3 linked regions of the Drosophila melanogaster genome follow. The protein of the gene in region 1 interacts with the protein of each later gene in a pairwise test. Each region holds a gene or a part of one and is shown in the gene's direction. Other genes may lie near its edges. The genes, in order: sle, CG13526 and CG15211.

Evidence for each region.
Region 2: the proteins of sle (region 1) and CG13526 interact in a two-hybrid assay, tested with the Drosophila melanogaster proteins (one large-scale study listed by BioGRID).
Region 3: the proteins of sle (region 1) and CG15211 interact in a two-hybrid assay, tested with the Drosophila melanogaster proteins (one large-scale study listed by BioGRID).

What each region holds. Positions count from the first base shown.
Region 1 is NT_033777.3:10,331,115-10,343,026, forward strand, and holds sle (slender lobes), read left to right. Parts: upstream 1-2,000; 5' UTR 2,001-2,162; coding exon 2,163-2,199; intron 2,200-2,282; exon of another isoform or gene 2,283-2,375; coding exon of another isoform or gene 2,376-2,382; coding exon 2,383-2,469; intron 2,470-2,536; coding exon 2,537-6,045; intron 6,046-6,107; coding exon 6,108-6,329; intron 6,330-6,393; coding exon 6,394-6,831; 3' UTR 6,832-7,151; downstream 7,152-11,912. Other genes in the region: Bruce (BIR repeat containing ubiquitin-conjugating enzyme), read right to left, coding at 1-73; CG12818 (uncharacterized protein), read left to right, coding at 505-527, 584-683, 742-1,485; CG12592 (uncharacterized protein), read left to right, coding at 7,289-7,301, 7,362-8,932, 8,997-9,437; CG18545 (uncharacterized protein), read left to right, coding at 9,845-9,908, 9,969-10,504.
Region 2 is NT_033778.4:22,753,615-22,756,396, forward strand, and holds CG13526 (uncharacterized protein), read left to right. Parts: upstream 1-1,604; 5' UTR 1,605-1,710; coding exon 1,711-2,175; 3' UTR 2,176-2,282; downstream 2,283-2,782.
Region 3 is NC_004354.4:10,767,014-10,778,925, forward strand, and holds the start of CG15211 (uncharacterized protein), read left to right. Parts: upstream 1-5,527; 5' UTR 5,528-5,613; intron 5,614-5,754; exon of another isoform or gene 5,755-5,784; 5' UTR 5,785-5,985; coding exon 5,986-6,153; intron 6,154-10,947; coding exon 10,948-11,115; intron 11,116-11,197; coding exon 11,198-11,395; 3' UTR 11,396-11,912. Other genes in the region: Atg8a (Autophagy-related 8a), read right to left, coding at 968-1,057; BTBD9 (BTB (POZ) domain containing 9), read left to right, coding at 1,708-2,280, 2,335-2,973, 3,042-3,488, 3,550-4,059.

The sequences.
Region 1 (11,912 bases):
TATTACAGTCGCCCAAATCCAAGTAGCCATCTTGCTTGAGGACGCGCTGCTGGTGATGCTGCTCCGTGGCCATTCCGGAGGTGCGCCGCGGCAATTTGTGTGCTCCTGCTTCTGGTTGGGATACTCTGTAGGGGTTTTTTTCGCAATTCAATTCGGAAAATAATTGCTGCGAAACAGAGCTCTGTGCTTCTTCTTCTTCTTCGTTTTGCCCCTTCTTCTTCTACCTTCTGACAGATGTGTTTGCCATTCGATTGCTAGCAATCGCCTGTGAATGCCAAAAATTAATCGAGTGCCCAGGGGGCGCGCGAGTGTAAGTGGGTGTGGCCACGTCAAGTCAGCAAAGTAAACACATTTAAAAAATAAATAAAATAGTCCACTTTTCAAGCTAGAGAGCAACAAATTCGGCCTACTGCGCTTAGGGCATTCGATAATTCAGAGCCATTCGATAGACAGAGATGCCTATCGAGTAATCGATTACAGGAATGTCAACAAAGTGGAAATAAAATGAATATTTTACCAAAAAAACGGTAAGTTTTATACTGATTCTAAAGATACCTCTCATCAATTCACGTGTATTTCTTAGCTGGCATGTGCGTACCAAGGAGAACATTGCCCGCGTGCGCCGGGATCAAGCGGCTGCCGCAGCAGAAGAAAAAGTCCGGCAGGAGAAATTGGAATTTGCTGTGGGTATTGCCCAAATATCGTCAATTTAACATAGTAATGTGTACTTTTATCAAATAGGAAAGCGAGGCACGAATCAACTTCCTGCGCCGCCAATCGGGCTTGCCGGAGAAGGCCTCCAAGGAATCTCGAGAGGAGTCGCAATGCAGTACTGAAACAACCAAAGGGGTGGATCTCTTTGCCGACTACAAGGCGAGAGTGAAGACCACTAACAAAGACTTGGAAAAGGAGCAAAAGGAGGAGCAGGAGAAGTATGAGAAGCAGATCGGCTACCTCACCTACTTGGGCCAGGACACCAATGAAGCTTTGAAAGTGCGCAGCTGGTACGAGTTAGCCCCCAAAAGACCAGAAGTTGGGGATCCCACAGCTACTGAAACTCATCATAAGCAAAAGCTAGCCCACGATCCTCTGACCCTAATTAATGCTTTGTTGCCGCCAGAAAAAAAGGATCCCAAAAAGGCCACAAAAAGAATTCGCGAAAGGACACCCGCGCCTTCTCAGGAACCTTCAATACCCCACAAGGACAAGAAATCCAAGAAAGATAAGAAGAAGCACAAGAGCAAAAATGGTTCAAGGGAGACCCTTTTGGCCGAGGAACGCATAAAACGAGAAAAGCTCGAGACGCTAAGAAGGGAGCGCATGCGACGGGAAACAGCGGAACGCCAGCGTTCCGAGGCTCTGTTCGCACCCAAGGAGCTGCCGGTGGCTGCCAGTGCCGAATCCACGCCGGCTTCGACGCCTAAGGTTGTCCAAAAGTACAACAGTCAGTTTAATCCGGAGTTAGCAAAGCAAAATATGCTCTAGCCATTAATTATGTTTTCAACTTAATGTTAACAGCCTGATTATGAATATAATCACTAAGCAAATAAATAGAAATTACACTTTATTATTGAATTGTCTAAAAAAATACTCTTTGTTTAAATATAAAAATGATTATCGTCAAATATTTGTACTTTTATAAATACATACATATGTATAAACACATCGCTTTAATATCCAGTTATTCAACCGTTACAAGAAGTCTTGGCGGTTTGGTCATGGTTTAAATTTAGATTTCGCGATAATTCCGCTTAAATGATATCGGCTACTTTATCGGTGCCGAAACAGGCCAATGCTGCACAGCGTCTAAATCGGACGAACTATTAAGTGATTTTGCACTTAAAATAAGAAGATAGAAACCTAATTTCGAATAAAATTTAATTTAAGATAATTCATCAGTTGAAGGTGATATTAGGCTATCGACACATTGAATTTAGCCCCGAAACTATACTAGTTTGAATTCTAACGGCCGCCACACAAATGCTCAACAGCCGGCTGCAGTGTTAGAGAACGTCGCAGTTTGCGGCACATGTGAAAATCACTTTTTGGCTCGGCGTCTTGGCGTCTTCGTTTCTATTTCTTTGTTATAATTTGCATGCGGGTTCGAAACTCTCTTGATTTCAATTAATTGTTGTGTGCGAAAAACAAAAGAGCCGGGCCAAATGGATGATAATACGGAGAACACAGATGGAAAGCGCGGTGAGTGAATCTAAGCGTGCTGTGCTGAAAAAGCAACGGGACAAGTAAACCGGCGCTCCAAAGTCAGCCATTAACGGGGGGCTCCTATCTCAAGCAGGTCGCCTTTGCATTCGATCGAATAAAATTTATTCTTACACATTATTCATTTTTTCGTTTATCCGTTTAATCCAATAAATATGGTAGTGACCCGGGCTAGAACTCGTCGCTTGTCCCTTCTGGAAACGGACAGTCGTCCGAGCACTCCGCAGTTGGATACGGTTGCGGAACTCGGTAAGTTGTGGCCCAACTCGGATCCCGGTTGTTTCAAGTCTAAGAATATTATTTCTCGCTTCAAAAGGTACCGCTTCGCCACGTGCCACACGTCGCACACGTCTGAACTCGTCCACTTTAGATGTGAGGACTCCAACACGAACCAGGCGCGCATCCTTGGCACGCGGTGAAACTCCCGAGCCGACGACGCCCTCTTCCGTGAAAAGGACAGCTCGCACGCCAGCTAAAAACACCAGATCTGTGCGCCAACAGCTTACACTAACAGAGGAACCTGAGGAAAATGAGGTCAAGCAGGAAAAGCCCAGCCCCAGTCCAAGCCCTGTGCCCAAAGAGGGCAAGGGAAAGGCACAGCGGAAGCCCAGTGTCAGTCCGAGTCCAGGGCGAACACTCACACCCAATCAGCAGAGTGATGAGAAACGAGTGACGCGTTCAATGTCTCAGACTCCACCAATGCCCACTCGTTCGTCCAGTAATACGCCTCGTGATCTTAACGATTCACCCAAAGTTGAGCAAAAAGCTAAACCCAATATTAAAACCACTCCCAAAGTGGCAGTCAGGCTCGAGAAACTTTCAATGGACAAATTCTCTGGCAAGAAGATGGAAAAGGCGAAGCCATTGATTGTACCGGATGAACTCAAGGATAATGGAGTTGTTGAGGAGCAAAATAAATCTATCACTGAAGCCCATTCACAGGCACCAGAAACACACGAATCAGCCCAACCTGACAAGGATGCTGGCAAACAATCATTCCTGAAGTCATTTACTACACTTTCGAAAATTCAAGGTTCAAGTAAAGCTCTTCACCCTGATGAGAGCGCAGATACAATTACAAAAATAACTCCAACCTCGACATCCAAGAAAATTGAAGAAAACATGGATGATGTGTTTGAAACACTACGCGTCGAGTCCCCCAAAGTTGAAAGAAAAATCGAGACTCTGCAGAAAGTCCATACTGTTGGCACTCCTGAAATTAAAGAAAAAGACGAGCCCGTTGGGGTAGACAATGAAATTAAAACGAAAACCGAAACTCCCCAGAAGATTGAACCCCCTATAATTGAAAGCAAAGTAGAAACTCAGCAACTGATTGATCATCCTCAAATAGAAAAGAAAAGAGATACTCCACAAAACGTTTCTACTGTTGACTTAATGGACACAAGCCCAGAAAAAGATGAGTCCATGGAGGACCAAGAGTTTTTGGATGCAGAAGATTCGATTGTTCAGTTAGAGCCACAAACCGATGAGCCAGTAGAGAAACCAAAAGAACTGGAGTTTGTAGACCTCGACGACGATGAGCCGGTATTTCCGTCGGAAGCTCCAAAATATGTCGAAGACAGTAAGGAAGTACACCCAGATGATTCAATGGATGATGACAAGCAAAACAAAATCGATGTTACCGAGGTTATACATCTGCCCAGCATAAGAGCTCGTGCTGTGCGTTCTCCTGCTGTGGAGCAAAAAAAATCGGTGGACTTCAACAACGACACTGATGACTTAGAGGTAGAAAAGAAACGGTTTCCCAAGACTCCAGGACGTGAGAAGGTGCCAGTTTGTCGCATTCTAACCCCCAAGCCGGAGACGCCCTTAAAACTGGCTCTGCAAAAGGGTCGTAATAGTTCCACACCAATATTAAAAGATCAGGAACGTGGCCTGTCCAACAGCACGGAGGAATTGCATCCAGCACCTCCTCAAATTGATGCTATCAAGCCATTCGATGAGCTGGAATCAAAGAATGCTAAGGATGAGATGGTGGAACAATCACCCATGTCAAAGCAAAAGGCTGAGAATAAAATCCTGGCTCGTCTAGAAAGCTTTGAGGAAGATGTTGAAGACCACGGGAATGAAGAAGAAAACGAGGAGGAGCACGAAGAAGACAAATCCATTTCCGAATTTGTGGACCTAGAAGCTGAAGATGCTGGGAAAGATTACATGTCTGGAGATTCGATGGACAGTTCGCTTCGCCGGGAAATGGAGGAGAATGAAATTCCAATCGATGGGGAGTCCGTTGGCAGTAAAGATACTGAGGAGTCTACCCCAGAAGAATCTGATGGCGACGATTCGTTTATTGTATCGGACAACGAAGACGAGGAAGATTTAGGACAGCTTTGCTACTCCTCTGGCGAGGATGAAATTGAAGACGCTGAAGAATCTGAACAAGCTGAGAGGTCTAGCGTGAAACGTCGCCGCATTATTATTGCGAGCCCCAGTGATGAAGAACATGATGGAAAAGTTCAGAGCAATGACGACTCAAGTGAGAACAAAACAGAGAAGCCCAAAAACCAAAGTAACTGCTCATCCAATGCCAGTAAATTGAGCGAAGCGGCCCAACTGTTAAACGTCAGTGAGGAAAAATCTTCCATCTCGGAAACCGAGCTGGAAAGATCTCGCCAAGTCGCTCTCAACGAACTGAACAAATCGGAGCGGTTTAACAAGACAGAAACGCAACTCGATATCAGCGTCATGGAGGTAGACTCCTCGGATCACGACGAGGAGGAGAAGACAGAGAAGGTTGGAGCCAAGAACAACAGAAGCCTGTACGAAATCGTGGATTCTGATGACGGGGAAGAGCAAGATCAAGACCAAAGTGATGCAGATAAACCAGCTGAAAGCGAAAACCATTCCGAAATTAAAAAATCTACATCTTTCATGGACCAAATGTCTGGAGCCAAAGGCAACAAAAGCGTATACGAAATAATGGATTCTTATGAAACTGAAGACCCTAAGGAGGCTGGTAAAAACGAGGAGTCTGATAAGGACAAACCGGCCGAAAACGGGAAGTCTGATAAAGACAAACAAGCCGAAACCGAGATGTCTGATGAAGATAAACCATCTGAAATCAAAAGCCCTTCCACAATCAAAAAATCCATAATTTCAACTGCGGATGAAGAAGCTCTGCTCGCCGAATTGGCCTCTAGTGATCTAAGCCATTTGGAAAAAATGTTTAACCCTCTACAGAAATCCCGCCGCCAGTCCTTACATGTCCCCAGTCCCGAGCTGGCAGCCAAGAATCCCAAACTGAGACGCCGTAGTGAACGGGTTGAAGTTGGCAATGACTTCTGCCCCTCGCAGTCCTTTGTTGACATGGTGGCCGAGAAAAAGAGGCAGAAAAACAAGCGCAAGCGCCTGTCGAAAAGCCTATCAGGCGCACCAGAGGATCTTGAGGAAATGGAGATTAAGCACGAGCGCAAGCGCCTTAAGAGCTCACATGGTGCTTCCACGGATTCAATGGAGGAGGACAACGAAAACGAAACAATGACTGTCGCCGAGGAACATCACAGCGACGGGGAAGTCTCGAATGGTGAAGTTCCTATTGAAGAAAAGCCCACTACTTCATCTGAGAAACCATCTGCGTCGGAATTACCTGAAGAAGAAGAAACTGTCGCCGTTGAGGAGCTTCTCATGGAGAAGCCGAAAACTTGCGATTCACCGCGATCCGAGGAAAGACCGACAGAAATTGTGACTTCAAAACCGAAGGGTATGGCGCCGGTCAAGGTGGAGAAGACTGCCGAATATTACTTGGCATACTGTCACAACCTCCTGGAAGCTGCCAACGAGGCTAAGTTAAAGGAAAAGAAAGAGGTCAGTTTCTTAAATAAAAAATCTCCTTTACGATTCACACTAAATTCGCTTATATTTTATAGCATCTTGCCAGCGGAGCAAAGCAAAAGAAGCCAAAGCGAATTGCTGCGCAAGCGCCATCCAAGCTCCTGGGCACCATCGGCTCAGAATCGGAAACCAACACAGCGAAATCGTCCAAGCAGCCACCGGCGCTGAAGAAGGATGTAAAGCGCCTACAGGCAGCGCGCCAGGCTGTGAGTCATGCTGTTAATCTTCTGGCGCCACCAAAAGCCACCGAAGCAGAGGTAAGCGTTAGTTAGTCGCCTACAAATAATAAGAGTATAACCAAAAGTCCTTGCTCCTCCGCAGCCACGCACGCTCTCGCGCAAATTGTCGCCACAGCCGCCAGTGGTGGACAAGAAATCAGCCAAACAGAAGAAGGGGAAGAAGAAGCAAAAGCCCCAGGAGGCATCACCGCTAAAGAGTTCCGATGAGGAGAACCACGGCCATCGTATTCGAACAAATGCTGGCTACGTGACGGTGGTCGATGAGCCGCCCACTAAAGTTCCCAAAATCGAGCTGATTAAGACAAGTTCGGGCATGGTTCGAGTTGAGCCGTGCACACCCAAACAGAAGTATTTCCGCGAGCTGCCGCCCACACCGAAAATGCATGGGTTCCGCGAGGAGCCAGGACCCTCCGGGATGTCAAGGAAGCGGGCCAAGCACGCAGCACCAAAGGTCGAACACAATTCCGCCAAACAGGCGGCGCTGCGCTTCAAGGAGCAGATCTTTGCTCGCAGATCTTAGGATACATTACATTTAGAGAAAAATTAGTGGAAATGTTAAGTGTACACAATGCATACTTCAGTTTTTGTTTCTTTTCATTAGCATTTCCCCGATTGAATTTGATTCTATTATTTGTTCTATTGGTTATTTGTTACGCAAGCCCTTGCTCTTTGCCATATATTATTATTTTGTTCAATTGCACATCACTTAACCACACTTAACGCTAGCAAGTTGGTTGTTGATCCAATCAAGATATGAAATCAATTAAGAAATTTTCGAACTTGTCCCCTTTTTTTTTGAGCATCTGAGAAACAGAAAATAAAGCCTACCCATACAAATACAAAATGAAGGAGGAAACTTTTTATTACGGGTCCGAACATTCGGGGACAATTCTCTGGAAAAGTAGGCTGGCGGTTGCCTGTCCGTCATGTTGCACAAAACTTTTCATATTTTTTCACATATGGCTCACCATTTCGCAATGCGAACAATTTGTAAGTAAAATGCTATTCTATTCTCAAGATTTAGTATCCTATTTCGATTTTTGCTTTTAGTCAATGCAAAAATTGGCGATGCAGCCTACATCCAGGATGAACTGTCTTCGTCGCTATCCTCTTCTGTGGCCAGCAAATTCAAAGAATTTTCGAAGCGCAAACGCATTTCGGACAGTTTCTCGGATCTTTCAGAAGAACTTGAGAGAATAGGTTTGCGACAGATGAGGAAACGCATTAAGTTGGAGAAATCGTTCGAAAGAACTCCCAAAAAGAAGGTCCAGACCAAGAAGCATTTACCACCGGTTCGGAAGAAGGATAGCGTGAAACGTCGCCGCATTATTATAGCGAGCCCCAGTGATGAAGAACATGATGGAAAAGTTCAGACCAATGACGACTCAAGTGAGAACAAAACAGAGAAGCCCAAAAACCAAAGTAACTGCTCATCCAATGCCAGTAAATTGAGCGAAGCGGCCCAACTGTTAAACGTCAGTGAGGAAAAATCTTCCATCTCGGAAACCGAGCTGGAAAGATCTCGCCAAGTCGCTCTCAACGAACTGAACAAATCGGAGCGGTTTAACAAGACAGAAACGCAACTCGATATCAGCGTCATGGAGGTAGACTCCTCGGATCACGACGAGGAGGAGAAGACAGAGAAGGTTGGAGCCAAGAACAACAGAAGCCTGTACGAAATCGTGGATTCTGATGACGAGGAAGAGCAAGATCAAGACCAAAGTGATGCAGCTAAACCAGCTGAAAGCGAAAACCATTCCGAAATTAAAAAATCTACATCTTTCATGGACCAAATGTCTGGAGCCAAAGGCAACAAAAGCGTATACGAAATAATGGATTCTTATGAAACTGAAGACCCTAAGGAGGCTGGTAAAAACGAGGAGTCTGATAAGGACAAACCGGCCGAAAACGGGAAGTCTGATAAAGACAAACAAGCCGAAACCGAGATGTCTGATGAAGATAAACCATCTGAAATCAAAAGCCCTTCCACAATCAAAAAATCCATAATTTCAACTGCGGATGAAGAAGCTCTGCTCGCCGAATTGGCCTCTAGTGATCTAAGCCATTTGGAAAAAATGTTTAACCCTCTACAGAAATCCCGCCGCCAGTCCTTACATGTCCCCAGTCCCGAGCTGGCAGCCAAGAATCCCAAACTGAGACGCCGTAGTGAACGGGTTGAAGTTGGCAATGACTTCTGCCCCTCGCAGTCCTTTGTTGACATGGTGGCCGAGAAAAAGAGGCAGAAAAACAAGCGCAAGCGCCTGTCGAAAAGCCTATCAGGCGCACCAGAGGATCTTGAGGAAATGGAGATTAAGCACGAGCGCAAGCGCCTTAAGAGCTCACATGGTGCTTCCACGGATTCAATGGAGGAGGACAACGAAAACGAAACAATGACTGTCGCCGAGGAACATCACAGCGACGGGGAAGTCTCGAATGGTGAAGTTCCTATTGAAGAAAAGCCCACTACTTCATCTGAGAAACCATCTGCGTCGGAATTACCTGAAGAAGGTAATTCAGCGCCACCGGCGCTGAAGAAGGATGTAAAGCGCCTACAGGCAGCGCGCCAGGCTGTGAGTCATGCTGTTAATCTTCTGGCGCCACCAAAAGCCACCGAAGCAGAGGTAAGCGTTAGTTAGTCGCCTACAAATAATAAGAGTATAACCAAAAGTCCTTGCTCCTCCGCAGCCACGTACGCTCTCGCGCAAATTGTCGCCACAGCCGCCAGTGGTGGACAAGAAATCAGCCAAACAGAAGAAGAAGGGGAAGAAGAAGCAAAAGCCCCAGGAGGCATCACCGCTAAAGAGTTCCGATGAGGAGAACCACGGCCATCGTATTCGAACAAATGCTGGCTACGTGACGGTGGTCGATGAGCCGCCCACTAAAGTTCCCATAATCGAGCTGATTAAGACAAGTTCGGGCATGGTTCGAGTTGAGCCGTGCACACCCAAACAGAAGTATTTCCGCGAGCTGCCGCCCACACCGAAAATGCATGGGTTCCGCGAGGAGCCAGGACCCTCCGGGATGTCAAGGAAGCGGGCCAAGCACGCAGCACCAAAGGTCGAACACAATTCCGCCAAACAGGCGGCGCTGCGCTTCAAGGAGCAGATCTTTGCTCGCAGATCTTAGGATACATTACATTTAGAGAAAAATTAGTGGAAATGTTAAGTGTACACAATGCATACTTCAGTTTTTGTTTCTTTTCATTAGCATTTCCCCGATTGAATTTGATTCTATTATTTGTTCTATTGGTTATTTGTTACGCAAGCCCTTGCTCTTTGCCATATATTATTATTTTGTTCAATTGCACATCACTTAACCACACTTAACGCTAGCAAGTTGGTTGTTGATCCAATCAAGATATGAAATCAATTAAGAAATTTTCGAACTTGTCCCATTTTTTTTTTGAGCATCTGAGAAATAGAAAATAAAGCCTACCCATACAAATACAAAATGAAGGAGGAAACTTTTTATTAGGGGTCCGAACATTCGGGGACAATTCTCTGGAAAAGTAGGCTGGCGGTTGCCTGTCCGTCATGTTGCACAAAACTTTTCATATTTTTTCACATATGGCTCACCATTTCGCAATGCGAACAATTTGTAAGTAAAATGCTATTCTATTCTCAAGATTTAGTATCCTATTTCGATTTTTGCTTTTAGTCAATGCAAAAATTGGCGATGCAGCCTACATCCAGGATGAACTGTCTTCGTCGCTATCCTCTTCTGTGGCCAGCAAATTCAAAGAATTTTCGAAGCGCAAACGCATTTCGGACAGTTTCTCGGATCTTTCAGAAGAACTTGAGAGAATAGGTTTGCGACAGATGAGGAAACGCATTAAGTTGGAGAAATCGTTCGAAAGAACACCCAAAAAGAAGGTCCAGACCAAGAAGCATTTACCACCGGTTCGGAAGAAGGATACATCTGGAAATCGTGGCTCATTTGGCTTGCGACAAATGAGGAAGCGCGTTAAGTTGGAGGACACCGACGAGAAGTCTTACAAAAGATCTCCCAAAATGAAGGTCATATCAATGAAGCAGTCACCTCTGAAGGGACCGGCTCCAATCATATTGCGTAAAAAGTTTGGAATCTACGTAGCTAGTGTTTGGACTAGTGCTGGCTACGTCTTGGTGATCCGGGAACCGTCTGCAGTTGAAACAACCAATAGCAGTTCGGTCAGTTGGCTTGGGGAGCAGTAATTTTACCACAATATGAATACTGAATATTTAGTCTGTATTATATATATAGTAAAATTGTTGTTTTATTTATGAGTCGAACTAATGTCCCGTCAGTTGACTAAGGACAACGCCAAGAAATAAAAAATAGTTTTAGGAGAAATAGTTTCACGACTTTATTCTTTGGATCTCAGCTTAAGACTAAAAATCAAATGCAAATTGGATTGAGGAGAAGCCTCAGTATTTGAACAATATTTGTATTTCGGGAGAGCCTCGCTCTTGGGTTCTTAAGATTAGGTAGCGTTGAAAGAGGGCAGTCAAATCTGCTTAGGTCAGGCTTTAGGATGTTTACAAGAACGGCTGCGCTGCCAAAGATAAACGAATGCTGCGCAGCTGGGATACGTTATGGAAAATTACTAGAGTGCATTACTGATTTCTTTGAAATAATGGAAGTGGCTGGTTTGGACCACCCAAATACGTCACTCCCCTTCCCTTAAAGAGAAGCCTATACTTGGGCTGGGATTGATGGATATAGTGTGGGAAATGGAGTTTCTTCTATTTCTGTTTGTTGTGGTGTGTTTTGATTTTGATTTTTTCTTATTTTAAGTTTTGCATACAGCATCATAAATGGTTTAAATGATACATATCTTAAATATGAGTACAACAAAATTAGTGCGATTATTACAATGATCATTTGTATGTAAAGTGTAATATTGTTCTCTGAAATCATCTCAACAATGTCGTTGTGTTTTACAATTTTTATTTTTGTTATATTAAGTGGTGTGTATAGTGATGTCAAATCTATTTCTGGTTCTAACAGATTTTCACTTAAAATTATATTATTGATTTCTATTTTGCATTGCGTTACTCTTATCATTTTGTTTCCTTCTATTTTTATTTTATTAATTGAATTTTGGCAATTTTGGTTAAGAATTGTTTGGGTTAAGTTCCAGGTTACAATTGTGTTTGGTTCTATGTATTTTATTATTTCGTTCGTGTGTACTGGCTTAAAATTACAAATTGGATTTAAGTGTTTAATAATATTGGTGACACATTCATTTTTTACTTCTTTATTTTCGGTATTATAAACTTTATTTTCTTTTTCAAAATATGATTGTGTGTCTGTGTAATCTAGCTGATAGCCGTTGGAGTCTGGGTAAGGAATTATTTTAATTGTGCTTATTAGTGAAAGGTAAATGGGTATGTGGGATATGATTAATACTTGGTTATCATTGTAGTTAATCCAAGTGGATGTTTTAATGTTCAAAATGTTTTGGCTGTTCACATTTTCAAGTTTGTCGTAGTTTAGTAATTTGGGGTTAAACAGTCCAAGTCTGGAAAGCTGCATAGCCATTTCCAAATCTTCTATGTATTCCGTCATTTATCAATCGTATGGCGTCGTTGAGTTCATGTAATTTTACTGAGTTATGGA
Region 2 (2,782 bases), on another chromosome or scaffold:
ATCGCAAGCATTTGGCGAACGGCAAACTTTTGCGCTTGTCGGCGTTAACAAGCCACAGCCATGCGTTTAACTAAGCGTAAATGTAACAGTGTGTGTGTGTGTGTGCGGAAGGGTAAGGGGGTGGCGGTTGAGGGGGAGTAGATCCTGTCAGCGTGTGACTAAAGTGTGTTGGTGTGTGTGTGAGTGTGTCGGTGCGGTTGGGTAGCAGCAACATTGTTGCAAAATGATTTTGAAAAAAAAAAACCATCAATAACTCAAATATAATGACAGTTTTCCACTTGTTGTTGCCCGTCACAATCACCCGCCGCCCCTAGCTGCCAACCACCACCATCCCCCGCCCCTAAGTGGGGCTAAATGGATGAATAACTTAAGCCAGCTGCTTCGCCTTTCCTCTTAGTGTGCGATGTTATGTAATGTAATAACGTCAATCAAATTTAAAAAGGCAGACCAACTATTTCAAAATCAATTTTCCTGAGACCCCGCCCCAGCGCCCCTTCGCCATTGCGCCCCCACCCCCTTTTCATGGAAGCGGTGGGAATGTGGAAAAGTGGAAAGGCAGCGGAAGGAAACAGGAAAGCGAGCTCGGCTTAAGCAAATACACAAGCACAAGTTGTTGCAGCATCAGAGGAATCCTGAGTGGGCTGTTGCTTGTGGAGCGGAGGAAGTAGGCTAATGTAGCAGAAGAAGACTCCGGACTCAGTCACTTTGCAAACAGTATCCCCCACTAAGCTCTGACTAGCGAAATTTGCAGCCAGGCACCGTGACACCGAGTGAAAAAGTGCCTGCCATGGTTAAAGTTGGGTTTAAACTTTTGACTGGCCGTGGCGCGTGGTTTTTGCCCCCGGGAGAAATGTATCATTCGTGTCATTAATCATTCGTCATGTGGGACGGCGACAACATTTCATTTGCTTATCATCCGGCTCAAAGTCTTTGGGGGAATGAACGCAACAAGAGCAGGCCTCAAAGTTGAATGAATCAAATGGGCTGTCGGAAAACTTATTTCTAAGCCTAGAAATCCCTGACAAGTCAGTGGCTTCGCGTCCCCTGCGATTGTAGGGATTTGAGGAGGCGGAGGTAGAAGCATTAGACAGAAGGTGTGGTTAAATAAATGTTTTCTTATTTGCTGAAATTACAGCAGTCTTAATTAGGATTTTCTCAAAAATATTTCACAGTATGGTTGAAATTTAAAAGTCCAACTATGATAGCATTTATTCAATATAATTACTTGAAACTGGACAGGGATTACAAAAAATCCTTTCAGCTAGTACAAGAGCATCCTTTCAATTTATATGCCCGCTTGATTTTTTATGGCCAGCACTCCACAGCACAACTACTGCCCATCATCATCATCATCGTCATCTAACATCATTCCTGTCCCATGGACGGCCACTCAAAGGCAAGCGCTGAATTGACAAATTGATGGATGGTTCTCCAAACGTTGCATGCTTCAGCATCTCTGCTTTCCTTATTTTTTCCCTTTATTGCCCCTTGTACGAGTATATGATGCATTATTATTCCGGAAAAGTTTGTGACCGCAACAACAACAATTGCTTGCCTAAGTGTTTTATTAGCCATCGAGAACAGAGTTTGAGTTCGGTTGAGTTGAGTTGATTGTCAGTTTTCATACACATCGGTTTTTCCCCATTTCTCCTTTTTTTTTTTGTATTCCTGATTTTCCTGAACTACTTTAGGGTTTTATTTGCTAGTGCCATGCCTTCTTTTTCCGGCAATGAGCTGACGAATGAGCATATCGACGAACTGAGGGATGCCTTTGAAAAGTATGATCTGGACTCGAATGGCACATTATCAGCCAACGAGGTGCGACTGGCTCTAATATCAGTGGGTTACGAAATCACTGAGGCAGAGTTGTACGATCTCATCCATTCGGTGGCTGTGAGAGACGAGGAGAGGCTGGACTTGAAAAAATTTATACGCATGATGGCGCCCCGAATGGCCAATGTGGATAGTGATAAAAGTCTATGCCGGACCTTTAACATGATTGACCGCGATCGCGACGGCTACGTCACCGTCCAGGATGTTCGTGCCATTATGGTCGTCCTGGGCGAAGTCGTAACCGATGACGATATTAAGGATATCTGCCAAGCAGTCGATATGGATGGCGATGGTCGCATAAGCTTGCGCGATTTCGTAGGCTTTATGCACAGCCCCATTTGAGCTGAGACAGCAAGCAAAATTGAACATTTTTCATACAGAGTAAGCAAACAAACAAAAATGTATCTCACAAATCTATTGTAGATTATAATAAAAATTATTGTTTTCATAATTATTAATATATTTAATTTTTGTGTAAAAAGCCAGTCAGTGTTTATGAATTTTCGTTTAATTTTATAATGGTTTTTTTTTTATTTAAAATGTTCTTTATTTTGTTTTTAGTAGGGCTTAATGTTTGAAGTACTTAAAAATTGAAATTCAATACATAGACGTACATATATTTCTGCCTGCTGGCAGAAAAAACGAAGGCGGCTGAATGGAAAACGGAAGGAAAAAATTGAGAGCATAAAGCCAGAAATTAATTCAACAGCACGTTTCGTCCATTAAGCCGCCAGAGCTTTGCTTGCTGACTTTGCCATCCTTTCGCCACCGCCCCTGCCACTCCCCCTGCAGGACATGGACATGGACACATGTGCAATGGCCGCACACACAAACACACATGCAAAGTGTTGTGTAAACAAGTCAGCTGCCAGTTGGCTGGGCGCTGCAGGCGGGGCTCACAGTAGGGGAAGAGCTAGAAGATGAAGAAGGAGCTTATCCAGAAGGAACG
Region 3 (11,912 bases), on another chromosome or scaffold:
AGCAGTTTGTCGTTTCGTTTCGTTTGGTTTTGTTTTGGTTTTTGTGAAAGGAGTTTTCGCTGATAACGTGGTGAAATGCATACATACATAGCAGAAAAACAACAAAGAAGAAGCAGAAGATGTTTTTGTTTTTTTCAACCTTTCTGTTTTCCATTTTTTTTATTATTTTTGTTTTGTGTTCAGCAGCGCATCTATGACTAATTCCAGTCGCACTTTGTGTATTTGCGAAAAACAAAACAAGCAGCGCTAGTATAAGTGTGTATTAGTGAGTATTAGTGACTTTTTTTATGCGCAGTACTCGCTCGTTTTGCCAACAAACAAACGAAATTAAAATCGAAAACAACTGGTTGGTGCACACACAGAAAAAAAACGGGGTGGTCAAAACTTTGCTTGTAACTAAATTATGATGACAGATAGATATATGCGATTTTCTTGCTGTGTAGCCAGAGGGTGGGATAGAGGAGAGGAAGAGGTGGCACAGATGAAATCTAGCACTGAAAACAACAACATCACAACAGCTGAGCAAGTGAAACGGCTGCTTTGTTCTCTCCCTTTTTTTGCTTTTGTTTTTTCCTGTCGACATCTGTGTGCCTGTGTGCGCGTGTATGCGTGCGTATGTGTGTATGCAGGGGGCAGAATTTTCGTTTGAATTTCTTTTGAGAGCTTGTCGCCTGTTCCCCCCACCAGTAATGCAAAATGCACTTTATGCAATACCCATCGCACAAATTTCCCCAGCCACCTGATGTGCCAGTGCAATAATATTGTAATAACAATCGAAATACCCAATATGCGCAGTATTGATTTTCTTCGGTGCAAACACAAAAAAAAAGAGCGAGAAAAAAAACGACGCAAAACAAACGCATACACAGAAGCTCGCACATACACACACACTCGCACGCATATATACACACACACACACGTCTCTTTATACCTATATGCATTTATATATATATTTTTGAGTACTTACGGGCACACGGTCTGGATATTTGCGACGGATCTTGTCGCCCTCGGCGCGACGCTTCTCGAAGGCGTGCTCCTCCTTGTATTGGAACTTCATGATTGCAATGAAGAGGTAATTGGCTAAGAAACGCAGCTTCTATCACTTCGTTTGCTTTTGGGACTGTGCCGAATATCGATGCGTTGCTGAGCTTGTGTTTTTCTCTTCTCTGTTTTCTCGTACAAACGGTACGAAATACTTGTGTAGAGTGACCGTGCGCAGCAGTTGACAGAGCGCTTCGGTCTAAAAATCGATGACTTGCTGGTTTTATCGATAAGCACTCGCACTGTGGTGACTGCACTCGCTAACTGCTGTGGCTAGACTGACCGTGTGTGACCAGTGAGCGCGCAGAGACACCAACCCGAAACGCGCTAATAGTGGTGGCATATTAGACAGACACCATTTGGTTCATGTATTCGCTAAATGTTATCGGATGCAACCATGTGGTTCATGTGCTCGCTAGCAGACGGCTGTCGATATGGTTGTTGTACGCGTTAAATGGTATACACACCTACGGTCACACTGCACATATAACAGTTTTTCGCCGCAATAGAAGAATCCCTATTGTGCCATCGATATTATCGATATCACTAACTGTCATCGATGGATTGACGCAGCAGGCGAGACGAAACGTTAATTGTCAACTGTTCCCTCTGGCTGCTTACACACATAAATACACATCGCACGGAAGAAAAACAAAAAAGAGAAGGATGAGCAGCCAGGGACACCATAAGATGTCCGGCGGCGGCAAGAAGGGCGCCATGGAGCAGGACTACACCGACGTGGTCGATCTGGGCGATCGCTTCTCAGCGGACATGGCGCGCCTCTGCATGAACGAACAGTACGCGGACGTGGAGTTCATCGTCGAGGAGGAGCGCATACCCGCCCACCGCGTCATACTCGCGGCACGCAGCGAATACTTCCGGGCGCTGCTGTACGGCGGCATGGCGGAGACCACACAGCGCCAAATACCGCTTGAGGTGCCGCTGGAAGCGTTCAAGGTGCTGCTGCGCTACATTTACTCGGGCACACTGCTGCTGTCCACATTGGACGAGGATTCCACCATCGATGTGCTGGGCATGGCCAATCAGTATGGTTTCCAGGATCTGGAGATGGCCATATCGAATTATTTACGCCAGTATCTGGCCTTGGACAATGTCTGCATGATTCTTGATGCGGCGCGTCTATACAATCTAGAGGAACTCACCGAGGTTTGCCTAATGTTCATGGATCGCAATGCCGGCGACCTGCTGCTGCACAACAGCTTCAATACGCTATCCAAGGTAAGTTCACAACCAATTGGTAAAGTTGGCACTAAGAGTATGTAATGCTTACAGGAATCGCTGGAGGAGGTACTACGGCGTGACTGCTTCTTCGCCCCCGAGGTGCAGATCTTTTTGGCCGTGTGGAAGTGGAGCCGCTTCAATAGCAACGTGGACTTCAAGTCCGTGGTTAGTTATGTCCGCCTGCCACTGATGAACCTCGAGCATCTGCTGCAGGTGGTGCGTCCCTCGGGCATCCTGGATCCCGACAAGATTCTCGACGCCATCGACGAGCGCAGCACTTCAAAGGCGCTGCCCTACAGGGCGGCGCTCTGGCCGGAGGAAAACGTGGCCGCGGAGACGTTTTTGTCGCGCTGCATCCAGGGAGAGTGTCGCGACGCGCTGCTGGATGGAGATGTGACCACCTATGACATGGAGAACGGGTATACGCGCCACTGCATTACGGACAGCAAAGATGCGGGCATTGTGGTCGAATTGGGCACGTTCTGCATGATCAATCACATTCGCATGCTGCTCTGGGACAGAGACAGCCGGGCGTACTCCTACTACGTTGAGGTGTCCGGCGACCAGCAGCATTGGGATCGCGTGGTCGACTACAGCGACTACCACTGCCGCTCCTGGCAATACTTATACTTCGAAGCACGACCCGTCAGATTCATTCGACTGGTGGGCACCCAGAACACTGTAAACCGGGTAAGTCAGCAGTGATCTCTTCAAACTTTCCCCATTCTTTAACTTTTTCCCTTTCCATTAATATATAGGTATTCCATGTTGTGGGTCTGGAAGCCATGCACACGGCCAAGGTGCCGCGTTTAGTTAACCATTTTGTGGCGCCCAAGACGAACGTGGCCACCGTAGAGATGAGCGCCATTGTGACGGACGGCGTGAGTCGCACCCGCAACGCGCTTATCAACGGCGATTATGTGCGCTACGACTGGGACTCGGGATATACTTGCCACCAATTGGGCAGCGGCGAGATCGTCGTCCGTTTGGGCCAACCCTACTATTTGGGCTCAATGAGGCTGTTGCTGTGGGACTGCGATGATCGCACCTACAGCTTCTACATCGAAATTTCGACGAACCGCAAGGAATGGCAAATGGTCGTGGACCGCCGCAACGACAGGACCCGCTCCTGGCAGAACTTTCACTTTACTCCGCGTCCAGTGGTCTATATCCGCATTGTGGGCACACGCAACACAGCGAATGAGGTACGTAGCAGTGCAGCGCCACAAAACATGTCCGATAAGCTAATGCTCTCCTTGCTCTTAGATCTTCCACTGCGTCCACCTCGAATGTCCGACCCAGGACAAAAACTACTTAAAGAAGATAGCCGACATGGAGAAGGAGCGCGAGAAGAGGGAGAAGGAGAAGAAGACGGCCAAGACTGACGATGACAATATTGCCTCTACCTCGGGATCCTCGTTGGCTTCAGGCCATGCTGAAAGTCCCTCCACTTCCTCCAGCAGCAGCCAAAGCGTTTTAAGGTCCATCCACTGGCCGCCACAGACAAGGGAAGTGGCCGTTGCCCCACTCACTCCGCCAGCACTCTCCCCGCCCGGCACGCCAGCACTTCCGGCTCCTCTGACCCCGGCAACCTCGTCGCCGCATAACAACCATGAACAAAATCAGCCAAGTAATATCAGTGCAGACGCAAGCCACCACACCAGTCCAAGTTCAAGGAGCAACCCCAGTCCCAGCCTAAGTAGGAGCAGAAGCCAGAGTGCGGAGTTGGAGCCAGTGCCGCCATTGGTTGAGCTTGACACCAGGGAGACGCTCTGAGCTGATCGCCGCTGCGGCCGATAATGTTTTGTACTTGAAATACTCCTGTGGTCTGTTAGCTGTTAGTCTCCGCGCTTAGTTATATTTTGCAGACCGTGCTGCTCTTGTTATCTAGTCCTTCCCAGTGCCCCAATGCTTGGTGGTTCCAAAACCTGTGCATTGCATATTGGTTTTGCGTTATTACCTTCGTTATATACTATATGTATATACATATATATATATATAGATATATGTTTTTATAATTTTATTGTGATCCAAAAATAATTCCTTATGTTTGCAAGGCAGCAGAGTTATTTATATAAGCAATATAACTGAATTCTATGCACACACACACCCACCCACACACACACCACACACACACACCACACACACACACACATGTTTAACGCGAACTCGAATGCGATTTCCGAGCAGCTGAACCAAAATTGTATACGATATCCGATCGCATAGTATAAATCTGTACTGTCTAGCCTTATGTCCGGTCCATGTCCTTGTCCAAATCAATCCATTTGATCCGCAACTCGTAGTCTTTAGGCTCATCGAGCGGCCCAAAAATTAGGCTCTATTTATTAGGCAAATTTTGTCATAGTTTGTATTGCACGCAAATAAAAGCTAACCAAAAAAATGAAAACACCGCTTATTGTTTCACTTGCAAACCAATCGGTTTCTTATAAAATTTTTAAAGTCCCTCACACATTTCAACCACGAATTGTGCCGTGTGTGACCACTGTGCACCACACATGCCACCCACTGTTGCCCCAACATCCACAACACGCTCCACTGTTTTGAAATTCCGATCAGAGGCGACCCACGGCCGTGCTGCAGCGGCAGCCATAAAAGTCGAATCAGAACGTTAAACCAGTTGCGACGCACAGTGGGCGTTGGGAAGAGAGAGAGGGACGCCGATCCAGCGAGCGAATCAGAAAGAGATGGCGAAATGCAGTGCTAGCCAAACGGGAATTTGTGGGTTCTTGAAGAAAACTAAAAAAAAAAGAAAATATTACTCATACGCCGCGTTGTCTACATGATTTAATAATATATATTGCATATTTTGTACGGATGGTTTTAATAAAATGTAAATGTTTTATTGAGAAATCTAGACAACTGTATTTATTTAATAGTTTTACTTTTATTTTGGAATGAACACAATCACACAATACGGTCAATCTGGCCCACTGTGCCGATTATAACAGTTAGCGGCGCAGGCGCAACAAACTAGTTTGCCCCACAAGCAGCGGGGAGTGGCAACTAAGGGGGGTGGGGGGTGGTTCTATTTAGGGCGTTGCAGGGGCGTCGTCAAAGGGCGCGCGCAACTAAATAGCCAACTGACTAACTAACTAACTGGGAGAGCGCGAATGTGAGTGTAAGTCCGAGTGGGAGTGGGAGAGCGAGCGTGAGTGCGCTAGTGTGGAGCGGAGCGGCGTGCGGTTAACCGTTAGCCTGCAGCGGCGGCAAGTTCAGCTCGCAGTTCAGTTCAGTCGACCAGCGGCCGCCGTGGACAAAGCAACGTAACGCCAAAGCAATCGCAGCGCAGCTCATGGATATATAGCTACAGTTAACTACCAGATACTAAACTACACACATTTCACCACATACCCAAATATACCCACCACACGCGGCATATATCTCTATATATATATTTGAGAATTAGAGGCGTGGGGGTTTAGGGGGTGGGGTGGTAACTCGCGCGAGGGCGTCACACGCGTTCATATACATCAGATATAGATATATAGGGTAGCTGCCGATCGACCAGCGAACATATAGAAAGCGGTGGTTATTTTTCTCATCTTATTTTATTGTGACAAAAATCGCGACAAGTGTTTAAAAATAGTTGTTGTGCCCAGCTAATAAAGTAAACTTGCCCGCCAAACTGAAACTGAAACTGAAACTGAAACTAAGCCAAGCCAAACTATAAACAGCAACAATATGGTCGAGACCGTTGTCAATATCGAGCGCACAACAACAACAACGACGAACGGACCGCCAGGTGGAGCGAACCCGACCGTTGGCAGCGGTGGCGGCTTCTGGAGCGCCATTCGCCTCAACATCGACTATTTCCGCACCATACCGGGCATCATCAAAATTGTGGAGTTTGTGAGTACATACAACTAGCTGAGATATATCACTACTATATTTTTATAATTCATTATAAAACAAATGAAAATCTAATACTTAATATTGCAACATATGATATTTCGAAACTATTGAATACGATCCACTTGAGTAGAAGTCTTTTAAAAACTGAAACCAAAAACTGGGCCAAATTTCCAAACATATCAAAATTATGTACATTACATGTTTCTAAACTCTTAGATTTAAAATATGCATAAATGTCGGTTTAAATAGAACTTAGGAATGCGATTATGTTGAAAAAGTACCATAATGTACATACATTATTTTGTGGAATGCTAAATTCAGACATAAGTTTCCGAATTTGGCTGTTATCGTATTTCCTCGAAACTGATAGAGCCTTCGAAACATAAAGTTTCAGAGGGAAATATTAAAATATACGTTGGATAATTGTTGTAGAGAAAAGTTAGAATTCCTCATAGCACTCTTATCGTCATAAATTGAACGGTTTTATCTAGAGTTTGCCTTCCGCCACCATTCTTTATCGAGATATCTCGAGACTTAAGAAACCCTAGAGCCTCGATGTGTACTCAATTACACAAATATGTATACAATATGCCCGACAACAAGTGTGTTGTGCACTTGCCCCTTTTGTGTGTACATATGTCAGGATCTCATTAGACTTACGACGGATAAGATAGGGGTAGACAAGTTGTAGGAACTGCAAACATGTGAGCTCCATGGCCATGTGGTCAACTCATAGCCCTCTTCTTGTATTCCACAGACGTTAAACACTTAACGCATTTGGCCTGGTATTCGAAGCTATGTATGATCTATCTTTTTTCCCACAAATCCGCAGCAAAATGAAGTTAAAGTGTGGGCGATGCAATCGGTATGCGACGCCAACACAAGGTACTCGCAATTATATGAGTGGGCACTGGGGTAACTCAACTACCGCTCGGATGGATCACCTGCTCAGGTGTAGAAAGTTTTCAGGCAAAAATTTCTCTATTCTCAATGGGCCAACGCTTGGTGGGCACAAGGTCAAGGGATAACGACAAGTGCTTGGGACCCACATGAAAAATGCATTATTAAGCGCTCGTCAGTTGTTACGGAGAAAATCAATAGCGGATAAATGGGAGGAGTGCTGGGTGCTTCGATGATATGATTACCGTCACAATAAGCTGTCGTTTATTAACTTATATATATTGATTTTCTGTTCTGAAAATCGGCTATTATCAGGCGACTAAGCTAGTTTAGCTGACGGCTGACGAAGTAATTTGCGGATGTTCTGGTAGGACTTATTTCCAATTCATATACTAATCTGACCAAAAAAGGAAAGCAAATACTTGTCATTCAAATATGCTTTGATTTCACCAATGGCTAGTTAATTTTCTTTTTCGGTTAGCGGTGTGCCTGTCGATTGGGATATTTTTGTGGCAACTAATCTTATCGGTACCCTTAAGCGATAGTCTGCTGATAGTCGTCTCAGCGCAGTGTGAAATATGTAAAAGTGCTCCACTTGAGAGTTGCCACAAAAACAGGGCCGTAATTGCAGCTGCTCGTTTCCCAAATGCCAATTGATAGGTATTAAGCCCGTTAAATAAATAATTCAAATTGGGCCAAATGGCGGGAAACTTGACCACTTTCATGGCTATCTATTTTAAGACTTTTGTTTCTTGAGCTTAACTAAATTATATTAGATTATTGGTACTATAGTTCGAATTTGACTGCAGTTTTGACTGTTTTCACCGATTGTGACTCATTTCGAACAATTCTGCGAATATATTGAGTGCCATAGCTAATCGCTCGTTACTCATACGCACCGTTATCCGAACAAAGTGGACGATAATGTGGCGACCACCTGTTTGCGAGCGGAGAGGAGCAGACCGACGATATTTTCGGTAGCCATGCTCCTGCTGATAAGCCAATCGATTCCTGACACCTGACTGCCGATCGTTAATTTGCCCACGGACCATTACACATACTCATCCGCCCAGTGGTCCCAAATCATACCAACAACAACAACAACAACAACAAAGCCCCCGAAATATAACGCTTCTTTCGTATCTTATCGTTGGCAATTAGCATTTTGGACCCAGCATTGCCTCAATTTACTTACCATACATATTCACGCGATGCCCCAAGCATATATGCATTCCATGGCCAAGTGTGCTCTATATACATATATACGTACATACACATCGGAATATCTACGAGTATATGCAAATTCGGAAAGAGAACGATTTATTATTAAGTTTTGTTGGTCGCGGTCCCTGCCGTTCGAGAATATTTTTTTTATAATAGCCTAATTACGTAAGACGTGTATTTTGGAAGCTGCCGACGGCATTCTTATTGTTTGGCATTGTAGCATTGTCGTGGATTTTAATTTTAATACGAATGTTTTAGCCAAAAGCGGAAATTATGACACAAATACGGGGTGTCATTCAAGAAATTGTTAACCACAAAAATGCGGGGGAGGCGAAGAGATCTGGGGAATTCGAGCCGAAAGTCACTTTAGACAGATGCTGGCGTTTGTTGGCGGTTTGTTGATGAAAATGCGATCGATCGTTGTGGCATCATGTACAGTGCATGCCATAAACGTAGGCTGTTTGGCTTGTAGCCGAAAGCAGTTAACTTAAACTATCGGAAATATAAATTGTATATTGCTACTATCTTATGGGCGCACTTTTTCTGAAACCTCAAATCTTATCCCTTTTCAGTTATAAGTTTCAGTTAGCGTCTTGCCTTACAGCTGCGAAACGGACTGCACTAAGTGCACATGGCTATGCAAATACGTGTGTGTTTGCAAACTGTGTGCTTGGGTACATTTTAGGTAATTGACGCTGACTAAGTGTACGGCGCTCAGGAAAGTGAGCTCATCTTTGAAGCTCCGTCTTGGCCCTGTTAACAGATTGTTAGCCAACAAAAGGGAGGGCATACATATGTATGTATACAATTCAAGGGCATTGATCCTTCTATTAGATAATCCAGTTATGGTTGTCCATTAACTTCGAACTATATATATATTTGTACCACCACAATTGGAATATTTGTTAAACATTGCGAGGATATTAGCTTACAGGTATTGTTTAAACTTTAAGCTTTCGAAGAAAGAACATTATTTATACATATGTAGTTGGAAGTTTGTAATCTAACGATCTTGTTGTTTATGTGCGACCACTAGAATTTCTGTGGCTTCCATTGAACTTCAGACGAGGCAGACGCGGCTAGGAACCGTAGACCGTATAATCGGAGGCCAAGAACTCGATCCATTTCAGTGGCGTTTCGCGTCATTGAATTTCGCTCGAAAAGTAAATAATTATGTTGCTGCCCCGATCGATATACCCAGATGCACCCAACTCTCTACGCAGTTTTTCATGCTCCACAAGGCAATTTGATCGTTGCCATGGAACTAAAGATTATGGTTATATGTATATGGTTATAAGAACTTTCCAACCGTGCACATAAGAACTGATTAACACATACAAATGTGTATATATATGCCAATCTTGTCGTTATATATACCTTATGTATGCATACGCAGAAGTAAAAATAAAAATAAAAAGCCCGCCATAAATTATGCTTAGAAAAGATAAAATTCGTATAATTCCCAGACGAATTTCTCTCTGGCTCTTTTATTTTTGAAAAGTGACGCACAACATTTGTGGATCACAAGTGCGAGGCTAAAAAAAAAAGTATATAAGTCAAATGAAGAATACGAACACCATTTGGAAAATGCATGAATCCAAGATCCAAGATCAACAAATCTCAACAAATCGCTGACAGTTCAATCAACCTTTGATATGCGGCTGCTGTGCAGTTAATTGTTTACCAGATAGCAAATAAGAAACACACACAAAAAAAAAAACAAAGGGGACAACAACAAGATGTTGCTATCAACAGGTCGCTTTTGGCCTGGGCTACAACTTTCAGCTTTCACTTTTCGTGTACCTTTTGTTTTAGCCAAAAACACAATGCTCAAGTCGACTGACTGCGCACACCTGTTTGATTTCTTATTTTGTTGCTGTGTCGCCAAAAGCTTATTGCCATTTAATTGCCTAAAACAACCACGAATGTGTGTCATCATCGGCACCTGTCATCCAGCTTTATGATCTTAGTGTTCCTAACTCACGAAATCGCCCTGCGAATTTGCTTGAAATGCGATAAGGTTCTCGAAAATGACTTACAGATAGTTCAGTATACATATATTAACAAGTTATTGGTAATATATACTGAGTCATTCATAGATACGGGATACTGTTACCTCAGTTTGTTTGAAATATGACATAAACTTAAGTTAAGTTGAGTAAAATGGAGTACCTAATTGTTTCTGAGCCATTTTACTACAAGCACATTTCCAAATAAATCTGAGCTACATATGTATCTATGTACATATGTATCTATGTATCTGTGCAGTGGCATTCTTTGAATTCACCGCTTAATTAGCTGGAGAACAAGGCGACATTCTGAGCACAGCCTCTAATTTTTCATGGCGTGCATTCAATTGAAGGTGACATCACGACATGCTCACTCCAGATTCGAAATCACGACCTTGAAGAGGCGCCTCTCAATTGGAGGAAGATCACGATCTGGGTGACTATACATATATGTATTACAACTAATAATATAAGATGCTATGCAATCTATACATCTCAAATATGCATTCAACTTTACCCTAAATAGACATTGCATAAAACTGCACAATTACGATTTAATGCGACAGATGGCGCTTGAATCTTAAAACTACTCGTATATTATTGCTTCTACTGCGACCTTGTACACTTACACATTTACCCATCTTTTTATACACACCAGGTGCTGGGCATCATCTGCATGGCCCTGGCAGCTCCTCCACTGGCCTCGGCCACCTCGTTCTTCATGTTCGTCATCGTCATCTCGTTCATCATCAACATTCTGCTGATCGCCGCCTATTTCCTGGGCATTCGCGAGGCCCTCAACGTGGCCGTCAACTGGATATTCTCGGTGAGTGACAAATGGCAACTAACTGCTCTGGATCATTAGTATGAACTAACCCACCCAACTGCTACTTTGTTTTGCCCAACAGGAGCTGATCACCACCGCTGTGCTGACGCTGCTGTACTTCATCGGATTCATCGTCCAGCTGGCCAGATGGTCGGATGCCACGGGCAAGGGTTCCGGTTCGAATACCGCCGCCGGTGTCTTTGGACTCTTCAATTTCCTGGCCTACGCGGCGGGCACGTACTTCCTGTTCCTGGCCCACAGGTCCGGGGCTACCCACTAAGTGCAGCCAACTCAGTGACTGGATCTTAGTCTAGAGTTATTTCTAATTGTTTACAGAATAAGTGCAGATCGAGTACTTGTAATTTTGCCTCTTTTTTTTGTACTTTTGTTTTTTGTTGTTAATTAACGTATGCAGCAGATTGACAATGGAAAGCGACATGGCTTTCTGTTTTTAATGTTATTTTTATTTAAATGGCTAACTAACGTTTAAGTCTTAAATCCACCCGCACAAGACCATATCTACGAAAACGAGTAGGGTGGGCAGCCCATATAGTACATAACCTTTTATCATTTCATGGCGTACATATAATGATTTTGTAATTTTTTTGAAATGTATTCAATCGAGACAAAATAATATACGTAAATTAATTAAATTTTTTTTGTTTGTCCTTCACATATAGTTGAATATAACGACTAGCTTAGCTTGTTGAGAGGATAATTAGATCCTAGTTAGATGTGGCCCACCCTAATCCGTACACACACATGCACCAAAAAGCAAAAAACACGCGATGATGAAA